Linked DNA regions of Drosophila melanogaster. The protein of the gene in region 2 interacts with the protein of the main gene of each other region in a pairwise test. Each region holds a gene or a part of one and is shown on either strand. Other genes may lie near its edges.

What was found.
Region 1: the proteins of drongo (region 2) and RpS28b interact in a two-hybrid assay, tested with the Drosophila melanogaster proteins (one large-scale study listed by BioGRID).

The regions. Positions count from the first base shown.
Region 1 is NC_004354.4:9,553,075-9,556,214, forward strand, and holds RpS28b (ribosomal protein S28b), read left to right. Parts: upstream 1-1,548; 5' UTR 1,549-1,635; coding exon 1,636-1,833; 3' UTR 1,834-1,854; intron 1,855-1,921; 3' UTR 1,922-2,587; downstream 2,588-3,140. Other genes in the region: l(1)G0320 (lethal (1) G0320), read right to left, coding at 378-441; CG15317 (uncharacterized protein), read right to left, coding at 2,708-3,041, 3,101-3,140.
Region 2 is NT_033779.5:848,072-853,058, forward strand, and holds the start of drongo (drongo), read right to left. Parts: upstream 3,001-4,987; 5' UTR 1,998-3,000; coding exon 1,828-1,997; intron 1-1,827. Other genes in the region: CG4291 (uncharacterized protein), read right to left, coding at 3,372-3,588, 3,647-4,371, 4,428-4,500, 4,557-4,558; kraken, read left to right, coding at 4,865-4,934.

The DNA of each region.
Region 1 (3,140 bases), on a different chromosome or scaffold from region 2:
GCCGATCAATGTGAAACTAGGATATATATCGAGTATCCTTAAAAAAAAAACACCCTTGTGCTCAGTTTGAAGCTTTGATCTTGGTAACTAAACGAATTCATAGACATCTCAGACGAGCCAACTCACGAGTCAGAGCGAGAGGTCGATAGGCCTCATGCCAACTCAACAGTTTTGACCGTATGATAAAAATTCGACCACCAAAGATGAATGAAAATCACTGAATTACGATGTTAGTATACGGTGTGCATTGATTGGCAGTCCCATAAAGCATAATCCACGTAGCAGATGCGTCGGCAAAATGCCACGTATACGGATGGGAACACCCCCGCCCACCGAGCGATTGTTATTTATCGGCGAGGGTAAGAGACTCTACTTACGCGCCGAGAAGGTGCAGATGACGATGGGCAGGACCATCAGCATTAGGAACATCAGATGCCTCATCTTGTTGGCTGTTTTATAATGTCGTCGGGGCTCCAAATGCAATCGAATGCGCGGCGCACACACGGAAATTTGGCTGGGAAATCGGCTGAGGGAAAAACGCACGCACACACAACCTTCCCGATCGAGTGAAAATGAAGAAGTGACGGGCTTCGGTGGTATAGCGGCGAAAACAGAAGCCGACAATGCACGAAGTGGGCACGAAGCCGAGACACGACTTTCACTGACAAATGTCTACGTGGTGCCACGTCTAGGGTTGCAAGGGCCTCTCGATCCGTAGGTCAATTACTCAGTTTTTAGCTATTTAGCTTACTCAGGATAGGCATTCTGCCTAGTCATACATAAAACATTCATTTGATTATAGTTAAAAACATTTTCTCATATCTAAAATAATCAATAATATTAGATCTTGGCTTATTTTGTTGACATTTGAGTGCACCGACAACTCTAGCGAGACAAGTAGTGATGCCAAACGCCGCAACTGTCATTCCTCGTGTTTTTTCATGTTTATCATTTAAAAGCAATATTTTGGTCAACATAATATTTTATGCAATTATAAAATTCAAAATATATTTATTTTTTATACCAAATATCATTTTTTGACGGAGGTAAAAATGCTACAAATATTTTACAGCACTGTTCGGCCATCGTGCTGCCAACTTGGCTATTACACCGCTATTATCTGGCTATTTTTTCTGCTAGAAAATATTATGTTGACATTATTAATATAACATTGTCTGTATACCAGAAATATTATAAAACAAAATTGAATGGTCAAATTTAAATGTAGCAATACAAATTGGAAAAATTTTTAAAAAATCAATAATAGATATATGAACACAATTTTCTATTGTTATTGTGTGAACAATAAAAGTTCGCTTAAAGATTTAGGAAAAATGCAATTAAATATAAATACTAATTTTTGGAACACGAACCATTTAAAAAAACAAGGCATACGGAGGGTAAAAACTACTTTTTCGAGTAGTAAAATAATTTTTTTCGCTATTTTCTAGCCACTCAAGCGCAATCGATAGTGAGCGGGGCCGTTAATCGCAGCTATCGATTGGCCTGCGCAACGCAGCCAACTTCACGTCGCTGTGCCGATAACCGCTCAACTTCCTTTTTGCTTGCGGCTGTCAATTGAAGCGCATCTTGCACGTGAATTCTCTGCGAATTTAGCATTTTTAGCGATCTAACATGGACAAACCAGTTGTGTGGGCACGCGTCATGAAGGTTCTGGGCCGCACCGGCTCCCAGGGTCAGTGTACCCAGGTGAAGGTCGAGTTCCTGGGCGAGCAGAACCGCCAGATTATCCGAAACGTGAAGGGACCAGTTCGCGAGGGCGACATCCTGACCCTTTTGGAATCCGAACGTGAAGCCAGGAGGCTGCGCTAATTGGCGACCAAACTCGAGAAGGTAAGCGCACCTGGAATATTGGCCACAGTGAACACACGTCTTAACACACCTTCTATTTATTCCGCAGACCTTTTTACACACACATACACAAAACTGTTTTTCGCACGCGCCTTGTTTTTTTCGCGGAGAAGAAGAAGCGGATGGCAAGAAATCCGAACGAGGCTGCTGCATATTCGTTATAAACAAATGAAAATACACACCTAATTCGCCAGAAAATCAGCAAAAATGTGTTTTAAATAAATCTCGAGAGCATTGGACCGCCTTTGTACGAAAAGAAAACCAATCAAGCCTGTGTTTTGGTTTCATTACCTTTTTTGTTTCTGTGTTTTTTTTGAGTGCCCAGTGAAAATTGACAATGGAATGTGGTCTTCAAGCGACTTCCTTTAACAATATGTATTTGCATTTAGCAGAAACCCTTGCCTTCTCGGAAATCAACAAAGAAAATACAGACGAAATTCTCCAGTTGCTAAAAACACGTTTCGTTGATTTCCTTATAAACGCAAAGTTTTTCTGTTAAACACAATGATCAGAAGTTCTGGACACGTTAACATCTTAAAAAAAATGTTTTATTTTTTCGTCCACGAAAAGATATTTCAAAGAGAGGCCAGCCGAGTGATTATATAGCCCAATCACATTTCAGATTTGACAATCAATGTTAATGAATGCACAGTATTTTTTGTATAAAAAATAGTTTAAATATTTGAACTGCTGGAGCTGCACAGAAAATATACGTAACATTTTTATAATAAAAGTCAATAGCTCAGTTAGTTAATATATAAAACATTGTATAGCAAATTATGGTTTAAAACCACTGAGGTGCATATGTTTCTATATTCCTTAAGCCTAATTTTCCCTACAAAGTCAGCGGAAAACTGGACAGTCTCTCTATTTTGGCCAATCCAAGGGTAATGCGTGCTTCTGCAGGTTCCGGCAGTTGGAGATCGGATTTGAAGGACTCCAACGAGGATTCGGGTGCGGAAAACTTGGGTTGCAGCTGACTAAGATGAAGCTCTAGGTATTTAACCTGGTTCTGCAGCAGTTTCAGCGATTCCTCCAGGAAATTTCTGAATTCTGTCAATGCTGCAGGTGTTTTGGTTTGCTGCTGCTCATTACATAGGTGCAGGCACTCAATCTCGAAGTCAGTTACTTGGGCGGATATCTGCCCTAGCTCGGAAACCAGTTTCGATCTATGAATTGGATGGCAAGGCAAATCAGAAAAGTTTCTGGCTGGGATTAGGCCACTTACATGCTGTCCTGCAGGCTACGGTAAACATCGTGGCACACCG
Region 2 (4,987 bases):
TTCTGAAACCCACTACCATTGCCAGTTCCATTCTCATTCCTGAACCGCTTCCTCCATTAAGCGCTCCAAGTGACCGGCCGGTCTGCAGCGGATTCCAATATCCAAAGGCGGGCCGAACATGCACAGCCATTTCTTCGTGAGTCGGAGGAGTTGGTTTCATTTGGTATTCCCTGCACTCGCTCCCTTGTCGCAGTCGACGTTCCAGTCTCATTTTCAGCCAGGAAGTTCGTTGTCGCCTGCTGTCGCCCCTGCCACGCCCCCTTCCTCGGCCGAGTCCCCCATTTGCTGCAGTACCTTTCCACACCCCTTTTTGGCTACACCGGCAGAAACGTGGCACGTCGTTAGACTAGTAACTGAAAAACCGCAGAAGTATCCGACTAACAGGACCAATTGTTTGTTACAATTAACCATTAACCCTTTCTCGCAGTGCAATCGCTTGGTGTCCCCGGCATTTATGTGGCTTTTCATTTACATGCCAACATTTGTTTCCCTTGGCAGTTGGCAACAAGGTTTGAGGACTAAGGATTGAGGATTGAGCACCGCACACCGAAGACTGAGGAATGGGCAATGAGTCATCGAAACAAGAGTTGGGGACTGCAGAGTGCAGCAGGGCGAACGCATTGCAGTTGGCTACTTTTCAACCTGGTTCCGATGATAGAGATAACTCAGCGGAGAAACCCGCATGCTGTCCAATTGAGAGGCCACAATCTGGGGCACACGAATCGTGGGAGACTGGGCTTCTGGACCTGGGCCAAGCGGAAGTTTAAGAGCAATCATGTAATGTGCTTGATCCGGAAATGCGTAAATCAAATGAAATGCAGTGTCGGCGGAGTGGTAATACATATATGACCCCAATTTGGCCATAGTGCTCACAAATCAAAGCCAATTTGCCAAATTACTTAGAGGGGCAAAAATAAAAAATAAACTGAGGGGCGCCAAGGACACCCACAACTCAACCGCCAGGTGGGCGGCTCTCGAAAACGTCTCCCCACGGAAAAACACGAATAGAAAGCGACGCCGGCGAAGACAAAACAATTTCGTTCGCCGCGATGTCGCGCAATTGAAAGTTTTGTCTTCGATTTGCATTTGCATTCAAAAAGGAAAGGAAGCCAAATTGTGCGAAATTGTTCGAAATTGTTGGGGAATTGCTTTCGCTTTCACACACAATACGAAATAATAATGGGGGGCGGGATCGGACATTGCATCGATCGATCGCAAATTATCGGTCACTCCACTCGGGCACAGATCCCAAATGGACGTCAGGCGAGTTCAAATTGGCTGGGTTCAAGTCAAGATAACACGGGAGACCAAGAAAGGTCCACGGATCGACGTTGATAGCTCTCAATTTGCATTTCTATTTTTGGAAACACTCAAGGCAATATTTTATATGACTCCTAAACGCAGTGGGGGTAGCCCATTTGGCAGTTATCAGAATATGTATATAGGTAGCCAGCTTTTTGATAAAAAACATGTGTGAATTCAACCAAAAGCCATTCAAGAAAGCCATAACCATAAATGTCGTATATCTGGATTCTTCTTGTGGAAGATTTTAAGAGATTTGTCAGTTCATAACCCACCATCCTTATTCTACAAATCTCAAGCTAGATCAATCTGTGCATCGGAAATTGTTTGAAATATTTTCCAGAGGTATCTTGAATACCTGGTAAACTCAAAGAGACAACCAAAGAAATAACTAAAATATGAATAGCCAAGTTACAGTTACATTCTCATAACAAAGGTCACCTAGCAGGCGACTTATGCCTAATTCCTGGATCTACCCTACATTATCCCAGACTAGAAAACAACAACAAGAAGGCAAATACTTACAGGACTCCGGAGCAGCGGGTGCAGACAAAGGATCCGATGGTCATGTTCACGTAGGTTGGTCCTTTTTGGCCGCAGTCGAAGCACTGCCGATTGCTCCCCGTCCCGCTGGCCACTAGTTCCCGCAGGGCGAGCAGGTACTTGTCGTCCTGTTTCTTGCGCACCACCGCCATTGTCGCCGTCTCTGTCGCTCCCTTGGCCGCCGCCCTTTGTACCGCTTCCGGTACTACTGACGTCGACGTTGTCGTTGTTGTTGCTCCTGCTGCTGCGATGAGCGGCCTGACGGAGGGTCCGCTACCTGCGCGCTCCTCCTCGGATTCCTCCGCTTCCGCTTCGTGGCTCTGAGCCCGATCCTCGTCGGATCCAGCTAGCTGCTCGGTGTCCGAGGGCAGCCGCTCCTCGGGGGGCGGGAGTGGGTGGTGGTGGGTGGACCGCTCGGCCGCGTAGGGCGCAAAGGGGGCGACGGCGGTGCGGTAGGAGGAGGCGGCGTGGGGCGCGGAGCTGTTGTAAGCGTACACGAACTGAATCTTGCCTGATTTTTTGAATTCTTTCGGGAATTGGTATCGTTTACTTTCTGCTCCAAATTGACGTAAATTTCCGCTGTTATCGTTTTTTGCCTATCGTAATGGCTGGCTATCAGGATCGTTTAGGGAATCAAAAATTTTTATCGGGAATGCGAAACTGACGTAATTCCCCTTCCCCTCTTCTAAGCTTTCCTTTCCTTTTCTTTACGCAATTTTTGGCTTGACCTTTCCTCTCCTTCGACGCACACTCACACACTCACTTTGACACTCACACTGACAGGTGTGTGTGTGCGGTGCGATTTATCGAAAACCACTTTTCCGATTGCCCGTGTTATTGTTTACTTTTCACTTCTTCGACTCGCAGAATTTCGCTTCAATTCAATCTATTTACACCGAGTGCCGCTGCAATTGCCACACAGATTTCAGATTTCAATTGAAATTTCGACGCTGCGAATGCACTCGCCACTTTTGCTGCTTCCCCTTCTCCTTGTTTGTTTGCAGTGCGGATTCGAAGACGAGTGGAAAACGAACAGCGAAACGAAACGGAACGAAACCAAACAGCACAGCGCACTCGAAACAAAATAGCGCGACTCGACTCAACACAATTCCGACGCAAATTCCGACCGCTCGCCTACAACAACAGCAGCAGAGTGACCGTTGGCGGACGGGAGAAACATACCTCGTGTTGCCGCTGGAAATGCACTAAAATTGGACGGAGCTCTAAGACCTAAATATGCCGCAACTAAAGCACAGACACACACCGATTGAACCTAATTCGATAACTGTTATCGAAATTTAAAACTTTTTAAAAAACATATTACTATTTAAAATGTTGGGAAATATTTATTGAATGCAAGTCGACTAAAGATAATAATAATTCTACAATAGCTATGTTTAATCTAATATTAGTTAAACGCATCTCACTTTTTAATTGGTATAAGCAAACACTTAAAAACCTAAACATTTCCTATGCCTAAACCTAACTAGTAGGTGAAATATGCACATAAGCACATGGAGTACTTCTTAATCCTCGGCGCGCTGGCGGCTGTTTCCCTTCCTGATGAATTTCCGCTTGAACGTGGCGGGCGCAGTGGCGGCTATCTCCTCATCCAGACCGCCAATCGTCTTTTCCTTGAACTTCTTGACTGGAGGTTCTGGTTCACTCGAGGCGGAAACCACGGGCGCAGCACTGTAGTAATCCGTTTTGGGTAGCTGCCAGTCGATGGGCTGCTCAGGTGCTCTACAAAAATCCATAAATTTATCAGTAAATGCATTTGAACCTAGTAGGAAGGCCCTACTTCACTTCCACAGTTTGCCACTGTCCAATCTCTTTGGTGGCCGCCTCTTCCTCCGTTTTGAATGTCTGACGCCTCTCCTCCTTCTGCTTCTTTTCCTTGGGATTGTCCGTCCTGCGGAAGGCTTTCATCTTCTCTCGGTTCACCCTCGCCACTTCCTCGTCGACATTGGCGCGGAATTTCAGCGATTCCTCGGCCTGGGAGATCTGCTGCTGGTCGATGGCCAGCTGGTTGATGCGCTCGTACTCCTCGTAGGACAGATAGCCCTCTTTCGGCGGCTTCCACACGGATTCATTGGTCTTCACGTTCCAATAGTAGGTGTGTCCCTCGTCCGACTTGCCCTCCACCCAGAGGGATGCCTCGGGCACGGCTGCGTCGCTTGTTACCTTGCCGGGAGCCACCCGCCTCTGGTCTTCTTCTTCGTCGGACAATCCTTCCAGGCGCATGGGGTCCACTTGGCGTGATCTTCCGGCGAAGGAGTGAGCTCCGCCTGAGGCGGCAGCAGTGGCGGTGGCCCTCATTACCGTGTTAATGGACCTGGCGGTCATGTCACCGCGCGAATGGACATCCTGTGCGTACGACTTCATGGCCGCCTCCTCCATCTTGCGGATCTCCGCGTCCATTTTCTGGCGCTCCCGCTCCGATTTCTCGCTGTTGCGACTGATGTCCGTGATCCGCTTGGCCACATTCATCTTGTGCCGCTTGCCACTCTCGTGGAAGGCGACGCTCTGCGGGATTAGGGGTCATTAGAGTGCCGAAAAGCGAGTTTATTCTATGGACTCACCGCCTTGTTGTCGCTCAGCCAGCATTTGCAGAAGTCGCAGAACTTGCGCTCGTTTGATTTCCAGTACTCCGTCCTGTTGGAATCGAGAGTTAGCTATGGCAAAGCCGGAGGATAATAACGCAGACTTACATGATGATTTCTCAGCTTAATTGTTTCGAATACAAGTAATATTAAATTTTGTTTGCAATCGCAAATGAAAACAATGTGCGGGAGTTGCCACCCAGTCGCGAATGGAGCTGCACAATAGCTCCGTATCTGACTTTCTAGCCATTCCACCGCCAAACCGACATATCTGTCAATAGCTATTGACAATCGAATTCCGTTGATCGGCAAAACTTTGCGACTTTAGTTAGTCGCTTTTTGAGATTCCCCGAGGCAGGAGCTCGCCCGATCCGCGTCCAGCATTACGGAGCACCATTTGCGAGCAGCAATTAGCCATGGGCCAGACACGCGTGGCAGCAACAACAGCGGCGCAATCTCCCGCGGCGGAACTTTCGCCAGAGACAAGTGAGTAAACCGGAGGAGGAGGTCGTGGTCAGGTCACCGACTCGCACGCTCTG